3 linked regions of the Rattus norvegicus genome follow. The protein of the gene in region 2 interacts with the protein of the main gene of each other region in a pairwise test. Links are inferred from orthologs where the notes say so. Each region holds a gene or a part of one and is shown on either strand. Other genes may lie near its edges.

The links.
Region 1: the proteins of Ushbp1 (region 2) and Fam107a interact in binary tests that used the Homo sapiens proteins (3 or more experiments, as listed by UniProt). The two-hybrid records come from large-scale screens. The link is inferred for Rattus norvegicus from reciprocal best matches to the Homo sapiens genes USHBP1 and FAM107A.
Region 3: the proteins of Ushbp1 (region 2) and C5h1orf216 interact in binary tests that used the Homo sapiens proteins (3 or more experiments, as listed by UniProt). The two-hybrid records come from large-scale screens. The link is inferred for Rattus norvegicus from reciprocal best matches to the Homo sapiens genes USHBP1 and C1orf216.

What each region holds. Positions count from the first base shown.
Region 1 is NC_086033.1:19,044,469-19,049,740, reverse strand, and holds the start of Fam107a (actin-associated protein FAM107A), read right to left. Parts: upstream 3,161-5,272; 5' UTR 3,112-3,160; exon of another isoform or gene 2,960-3,111; intron 1-2,959. UniProt on the Homo sapiens protein: Stress-inducible actin-binding protein that plays a role in synaptic and cognitive functions by modulating actin filamentous (F-actin) dynamics. Mediates polymerization of globular actin to F-actin. Also binds to, stabilizes and bundles F-actin.
Region 2 is NC_086034.1:18,094,603-18,099,186, forward strand, and holds part of Ushbp1 (harmonin-binding protein USHBP1), read right to left. Parts: intron 3,943-4,584; coding exon 3,817-3,942; intron 2,446-3,816; coding exon 2,312-2,445; intron 2,173-2,311; coding exon 2,032-2,172; intron 1,716-2,031; coding exon 1,551-1,715; intron 470-1,550; coding exon 220-469; intron 1-219.
Region 3 is NC_086023.1:144,183,167-144,188,240, forward strand, and holds the start of C5h1orf216 (UPF0500 protein C1orf216 homolog), read left to right. Parts: upstream 1-1,914; 5' UTR 1,915-2,086; intron 2,087-2,551; exon of another isoform or gene 2,552-3,276; coding exon of another isoform or gene 3,277-3,361; intron 3,362-4,166; coding exon of another isoform or gene 4,167-4,171; coding exon 4,172-4,852; 3' UTR 4,853-5,074.

The sequences.
Region 1 (5,272 bases), on a different chromosome or scaffold from region 2:
ATCCCAGGCCCACTCTGAGAAGTGGAGTACAATTTTTCTCATTCCCTATCCACCATCACAATAAATGCCTTGAAACCATGGACTACCTCTTCTTATGGGATCCACGGTGGCAAGCCATTGAGAATCCCTTCGCCTACAGAGCCAGTCACCTAATCTCCCATAGAAGACTTTCCTGCCCTCCCAGCTTCAGCCCTCTACCAAGCCCAAGCCTGATACCCAGGACAGCCAAAGACTTCCCAGCAGGACCAGTTGGAGCATCCCCCCTCCTTTTCCCCCTCTGCCCCTGGCTAGATCGGCCCCCACTCTGTTTCTGCAGCATCCCAGCGGTGCCTGGATGCCCAAGAGCCTAAGAACTGAAGGCTGCAGCGTCCTGTCCTCAGACGGTGCTTCCCTACCCTGGAGCAGTGTCCCGCAGCTTCCCACAGTCTAACACCCACCTGACGGGTCAAACTTCCCGAATCCTGCCTCCCAGAGCAGCCTGAGCCCTGTGACAGAGCAGAAGGACAGAAGTAGGCCCCCTACTCAATCCTACAGAGAATCATGGTGACTGAGGAGGTTCTGTTGGGCACAGAGCTCTGGGACCAGAAGGTTTTGGCTAAATGAGTGGTCTGTATGTCTCTAAGAGGGTCGAAGGGTCACAGGGATAAGAATACAGAAGAGAGACCGGGGCCTCTCATTCTTCACAGGTTCTGTTGGTAACCCAAAAGGTCCCAGGGTTCCTTCCTAAAGACTGAGTCTGGTTCTGGGTGTGCACAGACTGGTGGGAACAGTAGCTTCGATAGCAATCCCTGGTCTTTCCTGGGCAGTGAGGAGAGAGCCGGAGGAGAATGATACTCTTGCTACAGGGTGAAGTTTACACTGAGAACAGCTGCAGGAACCTGGTTACTGCACAAGATCCTTTCATCCCCCTCCCCTTTTTAGGAGGGTTTCACATATCCCCAGTTGGCCTCAAACTTGTTACATAGCCAAGGGTGACCTTGAACTCTTGATTGGCCTGCTTCCACCTCCCAAGGGCTAACACTATAGGCATAGCCACCATGTCCCATTTATGGGGTATCATCGATCCATCTCAGGGCTTTGTGCATGCTGGGTAAGTTCTTGACCAACTGGGCTGAATCCTTATGGTCTTCTTGTCACTTTCTGACTGCATTCCCTCTATCTTCAATGTTCTTATTGTGTTTCTGGTCTATCAGTTACAACACATGACACTGGGTCCACAAAGTGTTCAGGGATTAAAGCAAAAGAAACAATGTAACACATGATCTTAGCTTGTGTGGCCTCAAGCAAACAGCTCCTGCGCTCTCAGCCTCTGACCAGTGGAGATCATGGCCACCTCCCGTCCCCTCAGGTCATTAGAATGTGAGACCTTGTGGTGTGCACACTGTAGTTTGTAGACTACCTGGCTGAGTAGGCAGACTGTGAACCTCTTTCTTGTCCTGCATGTTTTGGAGTGAGCACGGGACTTGGTCTGACTCTCATGATTATCTTGAAGGCAACTCATTTTGTAGTTGAAGAAATCAGGGCTTATCAAGCTAAGGTACACGCCAAGTACTTAGCAAAGCCAGGATTGTTGGACTCCAAACCTAGTACTCTTTCTACCATAGAACTGTCTCCTAGGAATGGCATGTTTTTGACTCAACAGAACCAATTTACAGCCCTTTGCTCTCTCTCTCTCTGTATACTCAATAAACCCCTGTGAAGAGGAAGGCTGAGAACATGATGGCCAGAGAACCAGACAGTGAGAAACGCAAGCACTGCCCTGCTGCTTGAAGCAGCTTTTTCCTGTCAGGCCTGTGGCCAGGTTTCAACCCCCAGTTCCTCTAAACCTTTCTGGTTCAGCATCAGCAGGGGGGCTTTGAGAAGCACTGGCAAGAGAAGGAGAAACATTCAGAAAAATGACAAGCTGGCTGCCACATGTCCTGCTTGCTCTCTCCTCCCTGTGGGTGGTATGCATTTGTAGCTCAATGGCTGGCCAGTAACCTAAGAACGCATTTGGCAACAGCTCTAGGTCTCCCTGCAGACTCAGGTCAATCTTCTTCGTCTTGGAGCCACCTATCCATTTAGGCAAGAAGGCTCCAGACTACTTCAGGTCTTGGTCCCCTGGATCCGTTTCACCAGAGAAAAGAAAGGTTGGATTTGAAGGGTGAGGCCTATAGGGTCCATAGCAAGGCTGGGGATTGTGCCCTGCTGTTGAGCAGGAAGCAGCGTGAGTGGATGTCCCATACTGCTATCCTTGTGATCTGATGACAGCTGTTGCACCTGGCAGCTGGCTCAGGGAAAAATCACAGCAGGGGTTGCCAGACTTCACAGTGAGGAAGCCATCAGGACCCAAGCACCCAGAAACCCATGTGTGTGGGAGGACTGTTTCAAATTTAGAGCCCATCCCACTAATAGCAGCTTCCTAGTGACAGGCAATCCCCTGATCCCTGGATCCCTGATTTCTCTAGTCCCAGACTGGCCGTGTACCACGTGATGAAGCCAAGTCCATCGGCAAGGCGGGAATCACCCATAGCCTGCATTCTCAGTACAGGCTGAGTAATGAGCTATTCGTCTAGTTTCCGACTCAAAACTCTCAATAAACTGAGAAGGTGGGCAACCCCTTCTTAGGAACAGACCTCAGAGACGTCGTCTGATTTCTCCAGATCACATAGCCAGTGTGTGAGGTAGCCAGAATCCGAGCTGAGCTTTGGTACCCAAATCCAAGTTCTGTGCTTTTCTCATTGCATATAGAACCTGGACTATCTGCCGATTGTGTCTATCTGTCCTCTATTAAGTGAACCCTCCTTGCTGACCCTACATACCCCTACTGTGTGATGATGGATTTAAGAGAGGCTGTAGCAGATGTTAAATTCCTCTCAGTGTTTAGAAGTAAAAGGTCAACCAGACTGCCGGGTTGTAACTGAGAGCCTACTTAACCCTCTATCTCCCACCCCCACTTCACATCCCTGCCTCTTCTCACCTCAGTAAGGCAGGGTCCCAGTACCTACATTTTGAAGGGCTTAGTTGCTGGGACAGCTTGCTCCGATGCTCTTAGGTCATCTCCTTCCCACCACCTTCTCCTAGAACACACTCAGCCTAACAGATGTGAAGCAGAATAGATCAGAGTCTTACTTCTCTACAGGTCCGGGGCTGTGAGCTCCTTGGCAGTGTCTGGGCTGCGAGGTCCTCTGCAGGTTTCAGACTTAGGGAGTGCTAAGCCAGTCCCAGATGGCTGAGGCAGCCACCCCCAAAGGGCGGGCCTTAAACCCCCAAGATGGGAGGCAGTTTTGCATTCCCATTTATTCTGATAGCAATGAAAAAGAACTGTTGCTATAGAAACCGTTATTTTACTTGGTGAGTGGCCGTGTCCGAGACTCAGAACACCATGTCCAAGCCACCCTGATTGAGAGGCACCAATAAATACCCGTGTTGTCAGATTGATGAGGAATATGACTCACACCAAGCTTTGTTCTGAACAAGGCGGCTCCTGGCTTCTGAGGAGGAATTTCCCTTGTTTGTATGGGAGGGAATTCCAGCACTTCCCCAAAGGAGGGGAGGGGAACCACGCTTCCTGCTGCAGTGAGGGATTCTTTAGAACTTGGCTCTTGGATACTAGCAGGGAGAGAACTATACCCAGACAGTTCTTGGCAGCCCTGCAGGCTTAGGTGTAAGAAACATTGTGAAGTGAAGTGGTCATCTACAAATGTGTTGGGCACATGGACAGCCAGAGCATTTGGGAGGCAGAAGGAGGTAGATCTCTGTGTTCAAGGCCAGCATGGTCTACAGAGAGAGAGAGTTCCAGGATAGCCAGGACTACACAGAGAAACCCTATCTCAAACAAACAAACAAACAAACAAACAAACAAACTTCACACAATTAATTTCCACAGAAGAACCAGCAGGATGTAGTCCAGGAAAAGGGCAGCGGATAGATTTGTACCTAGCCCACTCTGATCCTAGTCCCTTCTGTACTTTGGCTTTCCTGTGTGTGTTGGCTGCGCGTGACCTCAATGAGATGGTGTTCATTAAAGCAGCCTTCAGAGAACTGTCATGTGCTAAAGGCAGAGCCCCAATGTGCATGCCTGTGCCTGGCCACAATGAGAGTGTGCGCAAAGAGAAGCTGTGGGCTTGGGCAGAACCCCAAAGCCAATCTAGGTGCTTGTAGATCAAAGGCCTTCTCTGCACCTCTGAACTAGCTACTGCTCGAGCCTTGGGCCATTCTGTCGTTTGGCATTATTCTCTGTCCCCCAACTGAGGAAACCAGCCTCTGCCAGTGAGACTAGGCCTGTACCCCAGTTTACTTTCTCATGGAACTTTGGTCGGTCAAGAGCGATGAGGTTCAGGTCACACACATCACAGGTAGGCAGACATATTCCACACGCAGTTTGAGTTCATTTTGGCCCTAGGATCTGTTCATGTAGTCAATATCTAATATGTATGTGTATATTTCCTGGCATGTTCTAAGTGGGCGTATGATGGGAAAGCAACAGAGAGAGACAGTACCCCTGTTCTCAGGGGATCCACATTCAGTGTGTGTGTGTGTGTGTGTGTGTGTGTGTGTGTGTGTGTGTGTGTGTGTGTGTGTGTGGTGTGCATGTGTGTGTAGTGTGTGTGTGTGACAGTAGATAAAAAGACATACAAGAAAATGTCAACCAGTGATGTATGACTGTAGAAAGGCTGAGTAAGGAAGGGCAGTGACTGGAAGCTTGGGAAAGGTGGGCGCAGACAAGGAGTCATTGCTTATGTGGGACAAATGTTTAGGGTGAGCACAGCTAGTGTCAAGGCTCTGGAGTGGGAATGAACTGGGAATGATAGAGGGAGGCCAGTAGAGCCAAGGTGGGGAAGGACGGAGATGGTGGAAGGGCCTGAGAAAGGGAGATGCAGGAGGGACCACTCTGAAGCCACAGAAACTTAAGAGCCACCCATTCTTGGGCATGAGAAATGCTCTAGGAATAACGTGTAGTACTCTATGTCTATTGCTCCCAAGTCTGCCTTTCTGGAAATCCCTGGAATAGTGGCCTCCCCCAGTTTCCCACCCTGGCTGCTCCATTTTACTCCTGGCCAAATAGGACGACAGAAGTCTCGTATGGGCTGGGGGTGTATCTTAACTGTAGAATGCTTGACTAGCATACAGGAAGCCTTGGGGTCTATTTCCGGCATTGCATAAAACTGGGTGTGGAGGTTCATACCTGTAATCAGACGATCCTCAAGTCCATCAGCTCCATAGCCAGTTCAAGACCAACCTGGGCCACATGGAATCTTATTTAAATTATTTGATTATTTATTATTTGATT
Region 2 (4,584 bases):
TGTTCCTGTCAGGGATTTCATCATAGCAAGCCAAGGGAACTTACAGAGTCTTATGGAAAACCTAACCAGGGGGACAGACTCCTATGCACTCCTTAAAACCTCACCTTCAACTCCCCTTCATACAAGAGATCAGCTCCCCACCTAAGGGAGACCCTGCTTGCCCCTGGGCTCCAATGACATCATCGAGGATGTGTTGTGACTATCTCAGCACATTCCTACCCGAGTAGCCGCTAGGTCCTGCTGGATCTGAGACTTCTCCAGCTGAGGCAAGGTGGGCCCGGGCTGTATCTCCAGAATGGTCTGCACTGTTGCTTCTGCATGGGGCATAGTGGGCTTGGGTGCAGTGGCAGGATCAAGTACTGGGGGGATCTTCAGCAGAGCCCAGCGTTCTCGGAGATGCTGGACATAGCCGTGGAGCTGAGCAGCCAGTTCCTCTGGTGTAGGCTTGTCCACACTACTGCCCTCTGGACTATAAGAGACAGGGGGCAGGCCAGCTGTTCCCAACACACAGCCCTAAGGAACCACACTTTTATGCTACCTGAGGCCTACCAACAGCATCCACAGCACGACCTACACCCAGCCGATAATCTTCCAGCATTCTAGTATGGTAGATGCTGGGGCTCAGCCAGTAGAGTGCTTGCAGCTCAGTCCTCAGAACTTGCCTAGCATGCGTGAAGGTCCATGCCTGGCACCATATTAATAGCCCAGCTCTTAGGAGATGGAGGCAGGAGGAGTTCAAGGCCACATTCAGATACGTAGCAAGGTGGTGAGCCTTGATGGTAATAATGCCACTAGAGGAATTTGAATTTACTTGTGAGGTGTGCGCAGCTCAAACTGGGCACCAAGGCTGCACTGGCACTGAGGACTCTCTGCACAGAGACTAAGTCAGGAGCTCACAGCCATTAGTATAGACGTTCCTTACAAGTATACTGATAACCTTCCCAGGTTCACACAACTTGTCAAGAGTGCCATCTTTCTCTGGGGCTATGTGAAATCCTGTCTACTTCCTGTACCCCTCCTCTTTACTTCCTGGCTGCAATGATGGATTGACACCTCTGAAATCATGAGCTAATAAACCTAATAAATTTCTCTTCACTGTATTTTTTTCTCTTCTTTTTTTCGGAGCTGGGGACCGAACCCAGGGCCTTGCACTTGCTAGGCGAGCTCTCTACCACTGAGCTAAATCCCCAACCCCTGTATTTTTTTTTACCCAGTTTTAGAGGCTGAAGCTAGGGTCTACATTACTTGATGCTTTGTGTATGTGTGTGTTTGCTTTTGTATTCATTTCAGACAGGATCACTCTGTGTGGGCTAGCCTGGAACTACTCTAACTCTGTCTCCTGAGTGCTGAGATCAAAGACTGTCACCACACCTGGTGCCACTGAGTAACCGACTCCAGTCAGGCGTTGTATCAGCCAAACATGATGAGTGCAGAGCCAACCCTGAGCAGTGAATGATGATCCTAACCCCAATGCCCCATGTACAGCAGGCTTTGGGACATGCCCCCCATCACTCTCATGGACCAGCAACTCTTGTGCTTCCTGTGGGTACCTGGGCTGGGGTGTCTTTACATCCATGGCTACTTCCTTCTTCACCAGCAGCCTAGAGGCCTCCTTCTCAGCAGCCTGCAGGTCGCCATTGGTAGCTCCAACTCCAGCTCCTAGACCAGCTGTCTTCAGAGCAAGCAGCACCTCATACACCTCCTCACAGTCCTTGCTGTGGGATAGGATCTAAATGTTTCAACATTCAACCCCAACCCAGGCAGAGATAGGCAGATCTCTGTGAGTTCCAGGCCAGCCTGCTGTACATAGAGAGTTCCAGGCCAGCCTGGGCTACACAGTGAAACCCTGTCTCAAATAAATATATAACAAACTACAAAAGACACCTCCCACCCCTCATTCTTTATGGGTCAGAGTAACATGTCATTGTGAGGCAATGTCTGAAGGTCCTGTGTCCCTCTGTACATAAGGCATCCTGGCATGCAGCACCACCCCAGCCCCAGCAACCACCATCACTGGAAACAGGCACAGACCTATATTGTAGAGCCAGGTGCAGGGCTGTGGCCTCAGCCTCTCTCTTGCCCAGCTTAATGCTGAGGCTCTCACAGCGGCCCTTGTAGCCCTGGAGCACAGCCAGCAGGAGGCGGTTGAAGCACTTCAACTTCTCAATGTTCCTGCCTCCAAAGGTGGGCAACAGGGAAGGTGAGTGACACTCCAATCACCCAGAGCTGTTTTCTCCCCTTCCCAATCACAACCCAGTGGCAGGAGAAATTGTGTCCTTAAAAGCTCAGCAGCTATAATTCAGCTGCTCACCCCTGGAGCTGTCCCATCTGGTCTTCCATGAGGTACATCTCTGGGGATGGACGCTGTGTGGAAAGGCACCCAAAGCTCTGGGTGCTGGAGTCACTCCGAAGGCGTTGGAGAAAGGGGTGAGCCATGGGGGAGTCCTGCCAGGAAGACATGACTTGATTTATCTAACATCAAAAGCCCCAGAAGTGTTTTTCTCCCCTTTTTTGCAGGGCTGGGGGTGGAATCAGGGCCTTGGATCATATTACCAATCTGTTTCACCACTGAGGTACAACAACATCTTTGGTTTGTTTTGGGGAGGGTATTTGCATACACATGTGGAATGTATTATGCATGCGTGCATGCCTGTGTGTGTGTGTGTGTGTGTGTGTGTGTGTACCATGGCATGTGAATGGATGTCAGAGGACAACATATGGGAGTCAGTTCTCTCCTTTCACTTTGTGGGACCCAGGGGTTGAACCTGTATCAGCAGACTTGGCAACAGTTGCCCCAAGAAGCTGAGGCATCTCATCAATGATTTTATTTTTTCTTTAATATGGAGACAGGGTGTCACCACATTTACTGGTCATGATCCTTCTGGTCAGGCTCTTAAGCAATTGGGGTGACTGTGGGGTGACTGCTTTGAGCTACCAAGCTGGTAATTTAAGCTTTTTATTTTTTCTTTTAATTTTATGTATATGGGTGTTTGCCTTCACGTCTGTCTGTGCACATGCATGCCTAGTGCCTGTGGAGCCCTGAAGAAGGCATCAGATCTCCTAGAACAAGAGTTACAGATGATTGTGAGCTGCCATGTGGCTACAGAGAATTGAACCTGCGTATTCGATAAAAGCAGCTAGGACCCTAACCATTGAGCCATGGCTCCAAGTCCTATTTAGTTCTTTTCATATATTATAGGTTGTATTGACAGAGAAGCTCCTGAAGCAGGACGGTAAACAACTCCAAATAGTTTCAGGAAGTCCCTGAAACTGAGCAGAAACTGGACTAGGCCCCTCCCTGCCAAAATAAGGAAAGTCCCTTTGAGATTAGTGAACAAAGAAGCAAGCAAAGAAGACCCTGAGATAAGACCAGCTGTGTGAAGGAGGTTTAGACCAGAGTCACTAAGAAGGGACAACTTCCAACCTGCAGTGAGCTCCAGGTTCCCAGTTTTAGTGAGTTGTCACTCATGCTGTCACTCAGACTCTGGTGATGCAGCTGTCTTTGAATCATTTCTGTCCATCAACATGTACATAACTACAATCCTATATGTACCCATATTCATACCCATAATGTGTACCCATAATCCTATTTGTAACTCCAATAAAACTCATTGGTTCACTAAGTTGAACTTTAGTGGTGTCCGTATTTGATGTGTCATGGGCTCCCTATCTGTGGTCAGTTGATGTGTGTAGTGTCTCCCCAGGAAAAGTTTTGTCTTTTATTATGGGATCCCATAAAGCACAAATTGATATTTGCCCCTCACACTGGGAAAGCAGGGATCATCATGACATTCACTCAGAAGGCTTTATTCTTACCTGAGGTGCCCAGGGTCTCCTTTCTGCCCCAGAACTGCTGGAGTTGCTGTTTCTACGGCCTGCTCTGAGCATGGAGGGAGGCGGGGAGGCCTCCAGCTGCATCAGGGAATCCTCCAGCTCCTGTACCTGTCGGTGACAGGGGATCAGGCCTTGACTTCACATATTCAACCAATTCTCTACAGCAACCGGAACCCCCGTCAATGTGGCCTGGGACGGTTCCCAGCTGCCACAGAGCTCTCAACACTCAAGGCCTAACCAGGGGAGTGCACCTACTGGCAGGGTGATGGGGGAGGCAGAGTTTATTTTATTTTTTTAGGATTTATTTTTATTATTTTACTTGCATCGGCGTTTTCCCTGTATGTCTGTATGAGGTGTCAGGTCCCTTGGGAACTGGAGTTACAGAGAGTTGCCACATGGATGCTTGGAATCAAACCTGGATCTTCTGGAAGAGCAGCCAGTGCTCTAGACCGAAGAGCCAACTCTCTAGCCCTCCACTTTATTCCTTTCTAACTTTTTAGGAGACTGTTTCCCGGAGTCATTTATACTGCCCCAACTCAAGCCGTCTCCCACCTCAGCCTCGCAAGCAGCTGGGATTTCAAGTGTGCACCACCACACTCAGGAGAACTCATTTTTGTTATTGTGAGAAGCCTCTGAAAGCTAAGCGCTGAGCCACGCCCCTAGCCCCTCATTGGAGTATTCTACGCTGTCACTCTACCCTGAGCCACGCCCACAGGCTGACGAGGATTCTTAGCAGAACCAGCTAGGGCT
Region 3 (5,074 bases), on a different chromosome or scaffold from region 2:
CATGGGTACTGGGAACAAACAATTGTCATCTTGTACGAACAGCAAGTGCTCTTAATCTCTCTGGCCTTGCTATATATAAATCTCTTCACCATGTTGCCCAGGCTGGTCTCCTGCACTTGATCTTCCTGCCTCTGCTTTCTCAAGCAGCTAACTCACGATTCTTTGTGTTTTGAAGTCAGAACGCATATATATATATATATATATATATATATATATATATGTGTGTGTGTGTGTGTGTGTGTATGTATGTATGTGTGTATATATATATATATATATATATATATATATATATATGAAGGATTCAGTACCGTATGCAGTTGAAGACTTTGCAAGTTTGCTTGTTGTCTCTGAGATTCTAGGTTCTGTGGGTCAGGAAGTTTGGGCATCTTTAGGGAAGAATGTTTCTAGTCAGGAACACAGAGATGGTTTTCCTTATGTTTCAGACCCTTTCACCTTCTACATGATGGCGGATTATAGGACCTATCGGCGTCCTGATGCTGACTATCAAGGGCAAATACACTGCTACCGCTTACTGAGTGTTAGGCAGTCCCCTTCTGGGGAGACCTGGCAGACACCACTTCCACTAGAGAGGGCAGTGAGGTCAGACTGAAGGAACAGTCCCATCAAAGTCTCCTTGGTGAACCGATGAGTCGACCAGGGTTGGTTATCAGTCAGGATTCACTCACAGGGCCATCAAAAGCTCAAAGGCAGCTAGGTCACTGAAAACCGGAATCCAGCTAAGTGACCACTCACAAAGTCTGCATCCCTGGAGCTTCCAGCACAACTTGCAGGCAGCTCCACTGAAGAGTCTCTGTTGCCCCAGCAACCCCTTAGGTCACTCACTACCTTGAAGAGGGCCCTCGGGAATCTTCTGGATCTCACAACCCTCCCTCTAATGCTTCAGTTCAGAGTAAATGGCTACACAGTAACAGGGAATGATCAGAATCTAGGGTTACCTCATCACGTTTAGTGTATTAATTCAAGAATCTTTTGATTACCAGTTTGATAAATTCCACTCGGGTTGGATATGGCAAGATATGAACTTCATGGGAAGGCATCAAAACTAGAAACTCAGGAAGCAGAGGCTGGGGCATTAGCCAGCCATGTGTCTTCGTCTCCGTTCCTGGGTGTCCGCTCCAGCGCCGCACATTTTCCCCTATTACACAGGCTTCTTCCAGGTGTCAGGAAATGTGATACTGCAGCCATAGTCTGAAATCCTCCTGTCTAAAGGAAGAACTGTGACTTACCTGGAGTGGGATTCCATTCTTAGTTACACACGCACACACAGAGACACTAACACATATACATAAATAAAAAATAAAATCTTTAAAACTGGCTGCAGGTGATGGAGCGCGCCTTTAATCCCAGCCCTTGGGAGGCAGAGGCAGGCGGATCTCACTGTGCGTTGGAGGCCAACTTGTTCTACGTAGTGCTTTCCAGGACAGCCAGGGTTTCATAATGAGACTCTGTCTCAAAACAACAAACAAAACAATAACATCCGCATAGCTGTCACTAAGTGCGTTTCATCAAATAGGTATAGTACAGTGAAGGGACTTAAAAACAAACAAACAAAACAGGTCTAGGAGTCAGCAAGGATCCTAAAAGTAAATGGGGATGAACAGTTCAGCAGAAAACGTGACGAGCTGGAGCAGGGAAAGGACCGCAGCGAGTGCTGCAGCAGGATGGGACGTGCACCGCGGCCTCGCCAATTTCCTAGCCACTGAGAAACCCAGGAAGGAGTTATTTCGTCGCTATGTCTACAGCAGGAAAAACGATGGATCGGTGGCGCCTAGCCAGAGTGGTTAGGAGATGACACCGGACCTAGAAGGCTCTCGGGTCAAGCCGCGGGAGGAGGCAGTTCCTGCGCGGAGAACCGAACCGGCCCACGTGAGTCAGGCCGCCCCGCCCAGCCGCGCAGACGCCGCTGGACTCCGCAGTCCGGGCTGGGGCTGGGACGGCTGTGCCAGGACCAGGCAGCCGCGCCACCGCGCGTGCACGCGCAGGTCCAGGACCCACCCCCAGCCTCTACAGCGAGCAGGCCCCGAGGAACCATAGCAAACCCCGCAGGAGCGGGCGCCTCTAGGCCGTGAGTCCGGGCCCTGATGGAGTGCTTGGGGCCCAGCCGCCTGAGGGTGGATTGGGGAGCTGCCTCTGCAGAGATCAGGGTCACTGTGCTCTCTGTCCCCTGTGAGGCTGCCAATCCCCGTGCTACAGTCCCCTCCCTTACCCCTACACTATAGATTAGCTGGGAGGAGAGGGGGATCCTGATCTTGGGATGTCTGGATTCATTTCACTGACTTTTTGAGCCTGGATGCTTAACCCCACTGTCACCCCACCCCACCCCAACTTTCTTTGTAAGCCTGGCCAAATTTAGGAAATTTTTTTTTTTTATTCTTTTTTTCGGAGCTGGGGACCGAACCCAGGGCCTTGCGCTTCCTAGGTAAGCGCTCTACCACTGAGCTAAATCCCCAGCCCCTAGGAAATTTTTAAAATAGAGTATGTATGTGTGTATGGGGCGGGGGGGGATTGGGGGTGTCTTCAGGCCTTTTCTTACAAGCCAAAGGGGTGGAAACATCTGTCCCAACCTCAGTCTCCATGACTTCTGCCTATTGCTGGGTGTGGGGAGGCTCCCTGCCACCTATAGGGGAACCTTCCTAGTGGCTGCTTGATTGACTTAATGGTATGTTTCACTCATGAGGCCTCAGTTCTTCCTTCTGGTCATAGACGTGTGGTCAATGGAACGTCTTGTCAGTTCATACTCAAAAGCGATTATTAGGGAAGAGAGAGAGGGAGAAAATCAGCATGGAGCAAACTGAGTCCCATGAACATGTACCAGGAGCACTAGAGGGGAAGGGACAGACTTGCAAGAGAGGCTTGTCATTGTGGGTTCAGGAGACAGGGGTTCCTTAGTGTGGAGGAGGAGAAAGAGACCAGCGCTTCAAGCCCTGGGTCTCTGCTGTAGCCGCCTTCTGGCATTATTACTGTCTTCCTAAGAACAGGAGCCCCACGGTAGCCCCTTAGTCACTCTCTGCAGGTAATTACTGATACCTGCTATGGCTGGCTGGGTTTGCTCTAGAGCAGAGGTTCTCAACCTTCCTAACACTGCGACCCTTTAAGACAGCTCCTCATACTGTGGTGACCCCCAAGTAGTAACTTGTTGCTACTTCCTTTTTGTTTGTTTGTGTTTGTTTTTGTTTTTCCGGACAGGGTTTCTCTCTGTAGCTCTGGCTGTCCTGGAACTCGCTCTCTCTGTAGACCAGCCTGGTGGTAGAACTCATGAGATCCACTTGCCTCTGGGCTCAAGCACTGGGATTAAAGGCGTACATCACCACCGCCCAGCTTCTGTTCCTACTTAGTAACTGTAATTTTGCTACTGTTATAAATCGTCATGGAAATGTGGTTCTCTTATGGAATATATCTGTCCATATCTATACATCTACATACATGTAGACATATGTTCCTTTTGAAAGTATAATTTGTTATTTAGCTGAACGTCTTTTTAAAAAACATTAGCATATCTGTGTATGCACACGTGCATGTGGGTGAACAAATTGGCCAGAAGACGAGGTTGGGATGAAGCTAGCCATACAGGCAGTTGTGAACCACCTGACTTGGGTGCTAGGAATGGGACATAGATCCTCTGGAAGAGCAGCCAGTCCATTTAACTGCTGAGCCTTCTCTCCAACCCAAGTTTGTATTTTTAGTTGGAGGAGGGTCAGTGGAATGGCTGTGACAATCACTTGGGTCAAAATGACCAGAGCTAAAGGAGAGTTTGACAAGATGTGGACAGTGAGGTGGCCATGGGAGGAGGGTGAGTAGTCCAGGTCCTCCTAGGCATCTGGGTGGCTAGACTCAGCAGAGTGTCCTGCCAGAGGACGCTGCAAGGAGAGCTGTCTGGATGTGTAGAATTTGAAGAACCGGCGGTAGGTCACAAGGTTGAGTAGGGGTTGAATCTGGGCTGGACACGGATCTGAGAGTTGCTTACACATGATGGTTCTCGAAGCTGTAACAGGATGAAGTGACCTGGGGAGAAGTTTGTAGAATGACGAGATGGGCAGCCTTAAAGGGAAACCCCGCTCTGTGAAAGCCACGAGGAGGTTACTGGGCTCAAGGTTGTCATTCCATCCTCTCCTGCTGTGACTCATTCTTCTGCTTCTCCTTCACAGTCCAGATGTTTGCTGCTATCCAGCCAGGACTAGCAGAGGGGGCCCAGTACCTGGGGAGCCTGCCTCCTGGAGTATGTCACCCGGACCTCCAACCAGACAGTAATTCCAACTTCGTGGAGAGCGCTAAGGATGCTAATAAGAACTGGCATGGTGTGGATCCTATTCTGATAAGAAGCTCCTCTGAGTCGCCCTCTGATAACCGGGTCTTCCAAGCCACTGGGCTCCCTGAGGCCGGAGTCCGCAGTCCCCCGGAGGGTGCAGAGATCCCTGGTGCTGAGCCAGAGAAGTCGAGTGATGCCAGCAGCGTCTGCTCTCCTCTGGAGGACATCGGCTATGCCAGCAGTTCCTTGAGCATCAGCAGCTTTAGCAGCAGTGCAGAAGCTGGCTGTAGCACCCCTCGAGGTCCAAGCCCCCTGGATCCCCTTCTGCCCTCTGTGGCCCAGGCCGTGCAGCAGCTGCAGGCTCAGGAGCGCTACAAGGAACAGGAGAAGGAGAAACACCATGTGCATTTGGTGATGTACCGTCGCTTGGCGCTGCTCCAGTGGATCCGGGCTCTACAGCACCAGTTGGTTGACCAGCAGGCCCGACTGCAGGAGAGCTTTGACACCATCCTAGACAACCGGAAGGAACTTATCCGCTGTCTGCAACACAGGGAAGGACCTTGCAGGCACCAGGACCAGGGCTGAGGGTGGGCACAAGTATGTTGGCAGGCTTCTGTGTGGTTATGCACAAGTAAGTATGTATTAGTTGGCATGTGTGTAAGTCAGCATAAGTGAATATATATATATGCTAACATGTAAGCAGGTATGTAAGGCATGTGTGAACGAACTTGTGTGTGTGTTACATGTTGCATGTGTGTTTATGTGTGCATATGTGGCTAGGTACTCAGGAATGTGTATATATATATC